Rhinolophus ferrumequinum: one gene and its partner. The protein of the gene in region 2 purifies or fractionates together with the protein of the main gene of each other region. This does not show direct contact. Links are inferred from orthologs where the notes say so. Each region holds a gene or a part of one and is shown on either strand. Other genes may lie near its edges.

Region 1 (7,166 bases), on a different chromosome or scaffold from region 2:
ACCCCGATACATCTAGTACCTATCTGACACCATACATAGTTATTACCATATTATTGACTTTATTCCCTATGCTGTATTTTATATCCCAATTACTATTTGGTAACTACCAATCTGTAACTCTTAATCCCTTCCCCTCTTCACCCATCTCCCCCATCCTTACTCCTATCTGGCAACCATCAAAATGTTCTCTGTTATCTATGATTTTGTTTCTGTTTTGTTTGTTCATTTATTTTGGCTTTTAGATTCCACATATAAGTGAAATAATGTAATATTTGTCTTTCTCTCTCTGATATATTTCACTCAGCATAAACCCACTAGGCCCATCCATGTTTTTTACAGATGGCCAGATTTCATTCTTTTTATGGTTGAGCAACATTCCATTGTATATATGTACCACTTCTTCTTTATCCATTCATCTAATGATGGACATTTAAGTTGCTTCCATATTTTGGCTGTTGTAAATAATGCTGCAATGAACATAGGAAAGCACATGTCCCTTTAAACTAATGTTTTTGTTTCCTCGGATAAATTCCCAAAAGTGGAATTACTACGCTCTTCTATGCCTCTTGTTATAGCCTTTATTTTAAAGTCTATTTTGTTTGGTATAAGTATTGCTACTTCAGTTTTGTTTTTTGTTTTTTGTTTTTGTTTTGTTTTGCTTTGTTTTTATTTCCATTTTCATGAATGTCTTTTTCCATCCCTTCACTTTCAGTCTGTGTGTGTCTTTAGATATGAAGCGAGTCTCTTATAGATAGCATATGTATGTATGGGTCTTGTTTTCTTCTCCATTCAGCCACCCTATGTCTTTTGATTGGAGCATTTAATCCATTTACATATAAAGTAATTGTTGATAGATATGTTCTTATTGCCATTTTATAATTCATATTTTAAATCTTTTTTTTTCCTTCTTTATAAAGTTTCTTTAACAATATTTGTAATACTGGTTTGGCGGTGATGACTCCTTTAGCTTTTTCTTGTCTGGGAAGCTCTTTATCTTTTGATGCTAAATGAAAGCTTTGCTAGGTAATCATGACTGTAGGTCCTTGCTTTTCATCGCTTTGAATATTTAATGCCAATCCTGTCTGGCCTACAAGTTTCTGCTGAGAAATCAGCTGACAGTCTTATGAGAGCTCCCTTGTAACTGCCTTTCTCTTGCTGCTTTTAAGATTCTCTCTTTGTCTTTATCCTTTGGCATTTTAATTATGATGTGTCTTGGTGTGGGCTTCTTTGGGTACATCTTGCTTGGGATTCTCTATACTTTCTGAGCTTGCATGTCTAGTTCCTTCACCATGTTAGAGAAGTTTTCTGTCATTATGTCTTCAAATAAGTTTTTAATTCCTTGCTTTCTCTCCTCCTTCTGGTACCCCTATGATGTGAATGCTGGTATGCTTGATGTTGTCCCAGAGATCCCTTAAACTATCCTAATTTTCTGGATTATTTTTGCTATTCTGATGGGCTGCTTTCTGCTACCTTATCTTCCAAATTTCTGACTCGATCCTCTGTTTCATCTAATCTACTGTTGATTCCCTCTAATGTGTTCTTCATTTCCGTTTTTGTATTCTTCATTTCTGAAGAATTCTGGTTCTTTTTTATTATTTCTATCTCCATTTTTATGTTTCCTATCTCTTTGTTAAAGTTCTCACTGAGATCACTGAACATCCTTATAACCAGTATTTTGAACTCTGCATCTGGTAGGTTGCTTGTCTCCATTTTGTTTAGTTCTCTATCTGGAGCTTTGTTCTGTTTTTCATTTGGGACATATTTCTTTGTCTCCCCATTTTGGCTGCCTCCCTGCATTTGTTTCTATGTATTAGGTAGGGCTACTATGTCTCCCAATCTTAGTAGAATGTCCTTATGTAGCAGGTGTCATGTGGGGCCCAGTGGTACCGTCTCCCTGGTCTACTGAGCTGAGTGCTCCATGTGTGTTCCTTGTGTGGGTTGTGTGTGCCCTCCTGTTGTAGTTGAGCCTTGGGTGATGTTGGCATATCAATGGGAGGGATTGAACTTCAGGCTGATTAGTTGTGAGAACTGGCCATGACTACAGTGGAGGAGCTGTTATGGAGGCTGACACTACAGGGCAGGATTCTCTTTAGTGGAGCTCTGGTACTTGCCAAGTCTTCCCTTTGAGTGTGTTGTTTATGGAGGTGGTTGGGTGGTGCTCTAGTGTGGTCTGAAGCTGGCAACTGGGTGTGTTGATTCTGGGGCCTCTTGGAGTGGCTGTGCTGCAGGCCAAGTTCAGTCACTGCCTGTGCCTTACCTGGGGCCACTTGGCATGAGCTACAAAGTAATCTGAAGATAATTGCCACTTGTACTTGGCTTGGAAGTTCCTGGGAGAGGCTAAGCTGTAAAGAAAGGCTGGGTGCTGCTGGGCTTGGGGATGTTTAACAAGAGGTATGAGGCACCATGAGGCCAGATGCTCCTTATTTGCAGTTTGTGAATGTTTGAGAGATTTGAGGAAAGTTTACAGCATGAGGCAAGACAGGCTGTTTGTATGGTGTGGGGACAGAGCCAGGATTGCAGTTTCCAGGCTCTCAGTATCACATGGAAAGGTGCTGGCTCAGGTAATAAATGGCTATCAACTGTGATTGGATGGCCATCAGCTGTGGCTAGTTGGTGGTCAGCTATAACCAGTGAGCCATTGGCCACTAATATAACTGCTGTGGCTACACTAGCAGAAAGTCGGGGGCCTAGCAAGAGGATGGTGGCCGAGCTGGCAAGCGCATATTGCAGTTAGCACGGCAGAGTGCAATTAGCACTCACCATGTCCTGTGTTCTTATGTGGGGAGCAAGACTTCGAGACCCCACCTGACACCTTGCATGACATATCGAAAAGCCACTGGAAGTGGCTTGGGTGAGCCTGAAAGTTGGGTAGGGAGGAGTCTCAGGGAAACACCAGGGCAGGGCCAACGGTAGGTGTTAGCCAGGTTGTTGGAGACTCAGGTATAGCAGCTGCCTGTGTCTGCATTCTGAGAGGTAGGAGTACTCAACAAAGAAACAATGGTTTCTGCCAGCACTTCTCTCTGGGAGAAAGTTGGTCCTCCAGCTCTTGCCCTGAAGCCAGACAATTCATTTCCTCCCTCTATGTCCCTGAATCCTTTCAAACTGCTGCCATAGTGCTGGAGCTCAAAGGGAGTGATTCTGTCAATGAGCAAATCCATATGCATTTCCTTTAAGAGGAACACCTGGGACTCCAGCTGCCCTCTGTCTCACTTAGCCACAGTCTACCCTTGTTTTCACAGCCAGAAGTTAAGGTGACTTCTCTTCCAGGCACTGTAACCCTGGGTTGGGGGGCCTGACCTGGGGCTGGGACCCCTCACTTCTCACAGGGGACCTATGCAGTGGAGATATTTATCTCAATTTTTAACTGCCACACGTGGGTTGGGACCAGCTCATTTTATTTCTCCATTCCTTGTATCAGTCTCAACGTGACGTATTTTGTATATCCTTAATTATAGGACTTCTCTTCAACTGGATTTCAGGTGATTCTCAATGATGGTTATTCTGTAGTTTAGTTGTAATTTTGAGGTGCTCATGGCAGGATGTGAGCACAATATTTACCTACTCCACCCCATCTTGACCAGTTACCAGACATAGACTGATTTTTGAATGTCAACCAGCACTTTGGGAACTTGGACAAGAAAGGAGAAAAAATCAGTATTTGCCGCAGGGCCCTCCTGGTTGTGCTCAATAGTGATTACACAGTGATAGTAGTGACAGCTTCTGAGTTTTTGTCTCAGAGATTTTGGTACTTTCATTCTCTGTCAGTGTTTTTCTGACCCCCATGAAGGACATGTACAACTTGCCTCTATCATCATCTTATTTGGGAACTAGTTAAGCTGTCATCCTGCTAGCCTCTGGGAAAACTGCTAGAATCAAAGTATTACCAAGCATTCCTCTGTGTACACTTTGGTAGTACAGCCCAAATCTTGCAAGGACCTTCTTCCCATTTTCTTCCCCTCTCCACATGAAACCTCTGTTGTGCGGGTGGGGCAGGTAGGGGATCGAACACTGTGGCAATAATCAAGCTGCTAAATTGCTGAGCTGGTTTTAATTGAAGTGTGAGAAGGAGGTTTTAAGGCAGGTAGACAACATCCTGTTGTTCTGGTGCTCCTCTCTCTCTTTTGCACATCTGGCCTAACTGGGAGTCAGGTGGCTGACTCGTGCATAGTAGCAGCAGCAGGAGCAGCAGCAGCATCCCTTCTGCTGTCCCACGCCTCAGCCCGCCCAAGAGTCCACCAGGCCATGGATGCAGTGGCTGTGTATCATGGCAAAATCAGCCGGGAGACAGGGGAGAAACTCCTGCTTGCCACCGGTCTAGATGGCAGCTATTTGCTGAGGGACAGCGAAAGTGTCCCAGGCGTGTACTGCCTGTGTGTGCTGTGAGTATGTCGCGGTGGCTGGGTCTAGGGACTGCAGAGGGTGAGCACTGGGAGTGAGCATGAGTGGCAGGGCCAGGCAATGTGTGGGCCACAGGAGCTGGTTGCAGCCTCTTCCACTGCCCATCCGATGGCCCCTAAGGCTTATTTAGGTCCAGCCCAGGATTATGGTGGACCATGCTTTAGCTTAGTCCCCTCACTGGGGATTTCACTCTCCAGAAAGTCCTCCCCAGTAACTTTTGAGGGCAGTGAATGCCACTTTGGGTGGGCAAACACAGCCTAGAATTTACCTTTGCTCCGAGAAACACCCAGGCTCCTGATTTCCATTTTGACCTCTAGTAGAGGCCGGCAAGGTAGAGCCCGGGGATGGTGGAGTGGCCAGATTTGGGGCCAGCAGCTCCTGACAAAAGAAAAGGCTTCTCTACACCTCTCTTTAAATGTATTTGAAGGTGTCATCCCAAAGGAAGACCATCAAATTCAGGGAGGGGAAGAACACTAAGAAACTTAATACATTAAGAATGCAATGTCAGTTAGGTAGGAGGTTGAGAGGAGAATGTTTGTGAGTAAAACTGCCTTTCTGGATCTGCTTATTTAGCTTCCTTTAGAGGAGTTGTGTGTGGGACAGGACCCTTTCTTAATAAAAGTTAGGACAGACAATAGTTGTAAAGGACCTGGAGGGAAAACACCTTTGTTATGAATCACTTTTGCCCTTTATCTAACCATGTTTTTGTCTAACGTCCTATTTTTAATCAGATGCAACTTCATCTTTGCTCCAGAGCTCCAGAGTCAGACAGACCTGACACTTAATCCTGTGCTAGTCTAATGTTAGGTTTGTGACCTCAGCAATTAACCTCTCAGTCTCTCAGTTTTCTTATCCATAAAATAATATTACTACCTACCTCATAGGATTGTGAGGATTAAATGCCATAATGCAGGTAAAACTTTGGCACTGGACCTGAGAGATAGTAAATGTTCAGTAAATGTAAGCTATTATTATTATTATATTCCTTTTTTTTCCCAGTCAATTTCTTTTAGTACTCATGGGGCATTTCTAAGGAAGTAACTAGCTCAATTACATTTTGTCAGCATGATAAAAAAAACACCCATGGAAACAGCTGCTTGTACAGTAGGTTCTAGACAGAAACAAAATAAGGGAAAATGCTTGGTAGTAATTTTGGTAACTAATGATGTACTGCAAGCTTTTGAAGTACCTTCTGGGTCAGTAAAGAAAGATTACACTGAGGCTGATAATAGAGGATTTTCATTGTTTACTTTATTTTTTTAATGGTCAAGCCACGCTTGTGGTAACTCTCAGGACATGCTAAATACATTTATTATAAAGGCTTTAAAGGAAATAAATGGAAGCTGTTGAATTTCTTAGGCTCAGAGCTTTATGTTTTGCTTATATTATTGTTTTTCCCAAGCAGAAACTGGGGAAGGTCAATGAAAGCCAAGTAGTATTCTTAGGCCTTGTTATTATCAAAAGATGATGGAGGAGTGAGTGGGTCATGAAAGGGGCTTCTTTAGGAAAGCTGACAAAGGAGGGCCCCTTAAGTTAGAGGTAAAAAATAAGGTACAAAAAAAGCCTGGGCAAGGGAGGGAGAACAGAGGACAGTGTGTAGCAAGATGCACCTCAGGCTTCAACCACACTGTCATCTTTGTTGTTTCTCAAGCTTGCCAAGCATGCTTCCCCCTTAGGGTCTTCGTCCTTACTGTTGCTCTTGCTTCTTTCCTCAGAGGGGACTTTCTTGATCACCTCATCTAAAATAAGTACCCTCTCCTTGTCCTTGTTATATTCTATTTTTTCTTCAAGGAGCTTTAAACTATCTGAGATTTGTTTGTTTACTTATTTATTGCTGGGCTCTCCTGCTAAAATGTAATCTCCATGAAAGTAGGGACATTGTCACCTGCAGCAGGAACATAGCCTGGCACATAAAAAGCATCATAAAGCACATAATAGTCACTCAATATATATTTTTGAATTAATGAATGAACTGTCAAAGCAAATGCTGTTCTTTACTACAAAGAGCTATGGACTGATAATCAGGCCAGCATGTGGACTCTGGAGAAGTCACTCAACTTCTCTGGGTCTTGGTTTCCATATTTGTAAAGTAGCTGTCTGCCCTGCCTTCTGCATAAGATTGCTGTTGGTAAAATATGCAACATATAAGGATAACTTTAGTCTTTTGCCCATTTAGGCCAAGATCACATATGGAATTAATTTAGGCAGGTGGGGAATTCTAAAACATTTAAGTTTTCGCCCAAAGTGAATCTTGCATAAATGCAGTTTTTATGACTCTTTGTTCTCCATGCAAACTTCCTTATGAAGTAGCATAAAATAGCAGGCAAATTAGGAGTCCCCCGAGAATCTTTTGATGGACACACTGGGGCCTCCAAGTCTTAGATGGTGACTGTTAGACCATGCTGCAGAAGCAAGACACACAGATACATTGCCTTTTATAAGTTCTCAACTTTTTTGAGCCAAAGGTCCCTTTTGATAAACATAAACCTTTCATTCCCCCATTTCAGTACTATGCTGTAGTAACAAAATCACATTTTATTTTGAAATAAACCATGTACTCATTTTAAACCAAAATGTATATGCTTATGATGTGCAGCAGGAATAACAATGTAAATGGTATCATAGATACATGAACAAGAAGGTATAGCTAACAAACATGCACTGATTATAGGGTTTGCTCAGAATAGTTTCTCATTCTATCTTTTGTTTACTCGCATTATCCAAGGTTTGGTTGAGCTTCAGTTTCTGTATTTTATTGTAGAAATAAC
Region 2 (7,683 bases):
TGGATACAATCTCTTAGCAGAAGAGCCTGCAAATTTTTAACTCACAACCTCAGAATCATTTGGCTAGCCCATGTGTATTGGCTCTGCCTCCATTTCCAACCACTGTTTTCTCGTGGACAGCAGAATATGTGTATCTGCTTCTTGCAAAACCAATCAGAGAATTACTTCCCATTTCCTCTTTCCTCCAGACCCAATATGACTTAATCCCATGAAATCTACAACCTTGCTACTCAAAGTGTAGTCCATGGAGCAGCACTGGCTTTACTTGGGAGCTTGTAATAAATGCAGAATCCTAGTCTCCATCCCGGAATCAGCATTATAATGAAATTCCCTAGTAATTCATATGCATATTAACATTTGACAAGCTCTCATCTAGAAAGAATAATGGAGAGACAAATGAGATTCATTTGTCCCAGGGCATGATGATACCTGATTCTAGTTATATTTATTAGGATTATTTCTCAATATGGTTTATCTTTCCAGCTAAATTTTCTAAAAGGAGCAAGTTATAGTGCTCAACCCACTTGAGAGAATGTGGGCTGGTGTGAGTTGTCTTCCTTCATGCTTGTTTTCAATATTGATTTTTTTGTGTGCCACACTCTTGCCACAGTGGTTTTCTTTCCCTTCCTTAATAGCTGCAAACTCTTCCCTGCATCAGGGTCTTTGCACACGTGATTCCCTCTGCCTTGGATGCTTCCTCATGAGGCTCCCCCCACTTGAGTTCGCACATCATCCTTTAAATATCAGATGATATGCTACCTTTCCAGAAAATCCACATTACCCCCATCCAAAGCAGATCCCCTTGTTTTTCTCTCCCATGGTAACTTATTTTCTTCCTAGCAATCACATTTTAATAATTATATATACATTTATGTAAATATGTAGCTGTGTGTAAACTAAGTGGAATAGTGAAGCGGTTATAAGCACAGACTCTGGAGCCAGGCTCCTTGATTTCCAAATCTGGCAATCACTGCTTTTCTCGTGGGCCTCAAAACAACTGCAAACACATTCAAATATGTTTGTTTTCCTACACCACCCACAGTGTCACCTCCGTATGTGACATTAAGCAAGTTACTTAAGAGTCTGTGCCTTCTTTCCTCTTCCTTAAAGTGGGGATAGGAACAATATGTTTCATAGAGTCCTATGAAGAGTATCAAGGGAAATGGGGAGAAGCAGAGGAATTTTAATCAGAGGACCTTCAGAATATTTGATTCTACAGGTGGGTTCAATTTTGTAAGGAGGTAAAAATGAGACAAAGATGTGGATCTTTGTTCCCAGGCCAGGAAATGGCTCTTGAATAAATGAATTATCGAATAAATGAATTATTCCACTTTCTGCATCTTATACATATTTCCAAAGGTTCTGTCCTCTTTTCACTTTTCTCTTGAGCTTCACTTATTATTTCTTTGTTGTGACTTCCAAGCCTCCAGCTTCAGTCCTACCTCTAGTCCTATTTCAAGCTGCTTTCAGGAAATCTCTTCATGGATTTCATACTGATGCCTTAAAATTCGTAGGTCCAAAATTGAACTCACCTTCCTCTCCTTGTCTGCTACTTCATCCCTTCAACTCTGTCACCTTCTTTGGTTACCCAGTCTGAAATTTCACTGCCCTCCATCCTGCACCAACCCCTTTCTGTTCTTGATTTCTTTCCTCCTTATCATTTATCACTCTACAATATACTATTTCACTTATTTATCTTGTTTATAATTTGTCTCCCCTGCTAAAATGTTAACTCTATGAGGGCAGGAATTTTTGCCTGCTTTGTTTATAATGTATCCCCAGAAACTGGAACAATGGCAGGAATTAGTAAGTGCTCAATGAATATTTATTGGATAACTTAATGAATTCACCTCCCCCCTCATTGCCAATGCCAATTAATCTAGTTAATTCTATGTCTATGGTGACTCTTGCTTCTGTCCTTTCTCTTGTGCTGCTGCCATGTTTGTTCAACTGTCAGTGTTTCTCAGAACTATCACAAGTGCTTGCCATCTGCTGGCTGATGAAATTTGGGCAAGTTATTTAAATTATCTGAATTTCTCATGTAAAAATGGGGATAATAATAGTACAGACTCATAAGACATGAGGCTTATATGTATAACGTGTGTATAATACTTGGCCCAGTGCCTGAAACAGAATAAACACTCAGTGAATATTAACTGTTTGTATCTGCTTCCCTGGGCTAGTTCTGGCCTAGCTTTTCTGTCTTGCTTCCTACCCCATCTGTCCCTGAATCCTATACTTTGGCCTCGATGGACCACTTTTGTGCCCCAAACATGACATTCACCTTCATGTTTTCCTTGTAATAAACAGCAGGGAATGAGAAGCAGGCAGGATCAGCTAATTCCTTTCTCTCAGATAAAGTACTGCCAGACCAACTAACCCCAATTTGTATTAAAGGACGGGAGAGCTAGAGAACTTATTTTTTCACAGCAAGCTGAAACTAAGAGAACTATTTCTGGTGTTTTCTGTTGGACCCCAAAATTTTGGCTAAACTGATCCCACAGATTTTCAATACTTTAAATGAGGGTAGTGAAGCCCAGGAGGAATAAGTAATGTACTTGAGGTTATACAGCAAGATAGTAGCTAATTTGGTAAAAGGATTTATTTTCCTAATCTTAGTACTCCTTATTAAAACATGCTGTTAATAAACCCCAAAGAGTCTTGTCTTAGAAAAGCTCATTTCCCATGTTCCAGCAGAAAATTCCCTTAAATACAGACACAATTAAAGTTGGAGAGAACATAGCAGCTTATCAAGCATGACTGTGAGCTGCACCCGGCAGAGAGACAGACAGACATATATAGGTGATTTAGACTGAGTAAGCTAAACAAAATCTGGGAGTCACTCAGTGACTGTATGGGTCCATTTCAGCATTTACCTGGGCCAACGCAGAAGACAAGCGTGAGAAACTGGAACAGCCAAATCATGTTGTTAGCACTGGAGACTGGTGCTGAAGACTTTAAGGCAGTCAAGTTCGTTCTCTGTTGAAAGTGCTTCTTACTCAAACTTCCCCTTCCTGTCAGAAGTGTTGTCATAAGTGACTGCTAGGCTCACAGTCCGTGCTGCAGTCTCTTCCTGCAAGTCAGGACTAACCCCCAAGAGACTCTCAGACCCCCAGGATCTACCTGGCACTGATTGAGCCTTCTACGGTAGCTGCGGCAAGAGTGAAGAACAGAGCACGCAAGATCTTAAATGCCTTTCAATATGCTCTTTACTCAAACATCAATCATCAATACACCAAACAGTAGAGCACACAGAGTAATACAATAATTGGGTAAAACAGAGTAATGGACCAGTCCCAAAGTCAGTAAAAATCCTGGTGGAGCCAGGAAGGGTGGCTGGTCCTGGAGGTCGTTCTGGCAGAGGTTCAATCTGAGTCTGATGGAGTAAGCAGGCTTTTGGAGCAGAGGAGCAGCGTGGTCACCTCTTAGTCGAGACCCGCTCTCTGAGCTGCAAAAGTCTTCAGTTCTTATGCAGCAATGAGTGCCTTAATGACGTCACCTTATCAGAGCAGCCAGCCTGCGACCCTGACGTCCTCTTATCTTCAGTAGCAGACCTTTAGGAATGCAGCTTGTTGCACCCAATTACTAGGGCAACCAGGCAGCTCCCTGGGCATTGTCTGCTAAGTTCTCTGTGCATGTCCAAAATAGAGTTACTCTTGCTCATTCAATATGCTCACACAAAACTCATTCTAACAGCTTCCAGGGGTGCTCTACGCAGGCATGCATCATAACAGTCCTAATTTTATTTTTTTAAATTATTCTATTTACTTTTTTTCCTGAGCAATGGGGGGAATCTTTTGTTTTACTATTTGGTCTCTTGTTTTCAGTTCCTGAAATATCTTCAGAGCCATAAAGATGAAATGGATGTCTTATTATTTATAACAAGCCCCTTTTTACCCCAACTTTGTATATGTTAATGAGGTAACTTTTAGACTGCACCTAAGGTTGGCAGTGGAACCAATCAAGTGATTAGAGGATTGGAACTTTCAGCCCCACCTCCTCACCTCCAAGGTGGGGAGAGGGGCTGGAGGTTGAATCAGTACCGAGTGGCCAGTGATTTAATTGGTTGTGTATATGAAATGAAGCCTCCATAAAAAACCAAAAGGACAGGGTTCAGGGAGCTTCTGGATTTGTTAACACATGGTGATCTGGGGAGAGTGCTGTCCTTGGAGAGCACATGGAAGCTCCTCACCCTTTCCCCATGCCTTGCCCTATGCATCTCTTCCATCTGATGGTTTCTAAGTTATATCCTTTCATAATAAACCAGTGATCCAGTAACTGAAATATTTTTCTGAGTTCTTTGAACTGCCCTAGCAAATTAATCAAACCCAAGCAAGAAGTTGTAGGAACCTCTAATCTATAGCCTGTTGGTAAGAAGCCCAGGTGACAACCTGCACTTACAATTGACATCTGAAGTATGGGGAGGGTGGGGGCAGTCTTGTAGGACTGAACCCTTAAATTGTAGAACCTTATGCTATCTCTTGGCAAGTTGAGTGTGGGTTGCATTGGTAGTTCATGCCTATACATTTTTTTATACTAGCAGAAATGCTATTAGCTTGTGCTAAAGAGGACAGAGACAGGACTAGATGAAGGAAGGCCATTGGATGTCTTAATACAGGACAGGCCAAAAGAGTATCCAGCTGCAAACATGTGTTATCCTTTAAGAAAAGAGAAAAATGACCTCTCAACTTTTCAGAAGTTGGCAGGGCTGGTACTTCCACTATGGGTCCTAGGGCACAGGTTCAGAGGTCAGGACTATTTTTTCTCCAGTTCCAGGTGGACCCAGAGGACAGAGCACTGAGCCAAAGAGGATTGTTCTCCAGTCTTAAAATCTAATAGAATCTGCCTTGCTGGGTTTTGGACTTGCTTGTGACCTGTGACCTTTTGCTCTTTTCTATTTCTCCTTTTTGGAGTGGAAATGTCTATCCTTTGTTTATCCCACCATTGTATTTTGGAAGCATATAACTTTTCTGGTTTCACAGCTGGAGAAGAGTCTTCCCTCAGGATGAATCCTTACTTGAGTTTCCCTCATACCTAACTTAGATAATATTTAGATGAGATTTTGGATTAGAGTTGATGTCAGAATGGGTTAACATTTGGAGGGGGGCTGTTAAAGTAGGGGTGAATGTATTTTGCTTGTGAGAAGGACATGGGTTTTGATGGTGCAGAGGGCAGAAATATAGGCTGAAATGTGTCCCCCCAAATTCATATATTGAAGTGCTAATCCCCATTATTCAAGAATGTGACTGTATTTAAAGATAAGATCTTTAAAGAGGTAATTAATTTAAAATAAGGTCATATAGACAGGCCCTAATCCAATGTGACTGGTTTCCTTATAAGAAGAGGAGATTAGAACACAGACACACACAGCGAGAAGACAATGTGAAGACCCAGGGAGAAGGCGGCTTTCTACAAGCCAAAGAGAGAGGCCTTAGAATAAAACCAACTTTGTGGACACCTTGATTCCAGACTTATAGCCTCCAGAATCTTGAAAAAATAAATTTCTGTTGTTTAAGCCACCCAGTCTGTGGTAGTTTGTTATTGGAGCCCTAGCAAATGAATAAGTGGCTTCAAAATGTTGTATTCCTAATTTTGAATATTTTTAATCATGAAAACTGTTATCAAGTGCTTTTTCTGCATTAATTGAGATGATCATGCATCCCCGCCTCCTTTATTTTGTTAATGTGTTCTATTACACAGATTGGTTTTTGTATGTTGAACCATCCTTGCATTCCAGGAATAAATCCAATTGGTCATGTTGTATAATTTTCCTATGCTGCTGAATTTGGTTTGCTAATTTTTGTTGAGGAATTTTGCATCAATATTTATTAGGGATATTGTTTTGTAGTTTTATCAACAGGTGGTACTCGTGAAAGACTGGAAGGTAGGAGGAAGGGAGAAATTATGTTTTTTCTTCACCTTGATTTCTGATGTCTTAGCAGTGTTAGCAATAATGGAAAATGAGTGCAGCTCCAGGGTTCCTGATCTGGCAATGCATTTCCAGTAGTCATTCCAGAAGTCTTGGCAGTGTGGCTCCAGTGGTGGCAATAGCAGTGGTGAGTGACTTTAGGCTCCGAGATTCTTATGGTTTTGGTGGGATCCTGCAATGTGGCAGCATTGGTTCCAAAGGCAAAATTCCCCAAGGAGTGGTAACAACTTCCTGGTATTACTAATTGTGTAGTAGGCTCATCTCCTCTGTTTTACTCCTCAAATTCTTCCATTACATTTGTATTCAATTTCCTACATTCAATTTGCTGAATTTGCAATACTTAACAGGGTTTCAGTTTTTCTAATCAGACATGAGCTGAAACATCAACTGACCTTCTAATTTAAGCTTGCTACTTTTTTTTTCTAACCAGTCATGAGTGTTGAATTTTACCAAATACATTTTTTTGGAATCTGTCAAGATGATTGTGTTATTCTCCCCTTTAATGTGTTTAAACAATAAATTACAATTGAAGACTTCTTAAAGATAAATAACCCTTATATTCTGGAGATAAACCATACTTGATTTCTTCCTTCCTTCCTTCCTTCCTTCCTTCCTTCCTTCCTTCCTTCCTTCCTTCCTTCCTTCCTTCCTTCCTTCCTTCTTTCCTTCTTTTCCTTCTTTCTTTCTTTCTTTCTTTCTTTCTTTCTTTCTTTCTTTCTTTCTTTCTTTCTTTCTTTCTTTCTTTCTTTCTTTCTTTTTTTTTATGTTTAATGCATTGCTTGGTTCAATTTGCTAAAATTTAAATTAGAAGTTTTAACTTTTATAAGTGAGGTTGGTCTACCAGGAGTTGACAAATTTTTTCTGTAAAGGTCAAAGTAGTGAATATTTTAGACTTTGTGGGCCATACAGTTTCCATTGTAATCATTCAACTTTGCTGTTGTAGCATGAAAGCAGCCATAGTCAATACATGAGTGAATAGGTGTTGAGTGTGTTTCAATAAAATTTTATTTATAAACAGTGAAATTTGAATTTCATATAATTTTCACATATCACCAAATATTATTCTTCTTTAGAGTGTTTTTCAACCTTTTAAAGTTGTAATAACTATTCTTAGCCTGTAGGCTATATAGAAACACTTGGTAGGTGGGATTTGTCCACAGGCTATAGTTTGCTGATCCCTGGTCTATATTTTTCTTTTTGGGGAATCATTGTCATTTAGTTTGGAGTCAGTGCTCAATGAATTTTGAAATTTCCCACTGTTTTCTATGCTTTGGAACAGTTAAAATTATATAGGAATTATTCTTTCACTGAATGTGGTAAAACTTGTTCATAATACCACCAAGGCTTGGCATATTTTTGGAAATTATATCACTGAATATCCTTTTCATTTTTTTCTCTGATCAAACAAGTTTTTCTAGTTATAAACTTTTTTATACACTTTTTAAAATTCGTTTCAGGTGTACAAAGCAACACAATAGTTAGACATTTAAACTCCTCATAAAGTGAAACCCATCCCTTGAGCTACGACCTCCTGACATCTTATATAGCTGTTACAATACCATTGACTATCTTCCCTATGTTGTGTTCCACATCTTGTGACTATCTACACCTATATATTTAGTTGTAGTTGACATTCAATATTATTCTACTTCAGCTTCACGTGTATAGTGCATTGGTGAGGCATCTACACAGTCTATGACGTAATCCCTCTGATAAGTCCAATGCCTATCTGGCACCTTACATGATCTTTACAA

What was found. Proteins that work in one complex are often made in the same cells at the same time.
Region 1: the proteins of SLAMF6 (region 2) and SH2D1A purify together in Homo sapiens (co-immunoprecipitation; 5 studies listed by BioGRID and IntAct, with this or other methods). This does not show direct contact. The link is inferred for Rhinolophus ferrumequinum from reciprocal best matches to the Homo sapiens genes SLAMF6 and SH2D1A.

Annotation. Positions count from the first base shown.
Region 1 is NC_046284.1:32,677,785-32,684,950, reverse strand, and holds the start of SH2D1A (SH2 domain-containing protein 1A), read left to right. Parts: upstream 1-4,155; 5' UTR 4,156-4,242; coding exon 4,243-4,379; intron 4,380-7,166.
Region 2 is NC_046305.1:28,054,038-28,061,720, reverse strand, and holds the start of SLAMF6 (SLAM family member 6), read right to left. Parts: upstream 3,006-7,683; 5' UTR 2,926-3,005; coding exon 2,877-2,925; intron 1-2,876. UniProt on the Homo sapiens protein: Self-ligand receptor of the signaling lymphocytic activation molecule (SLAM) family.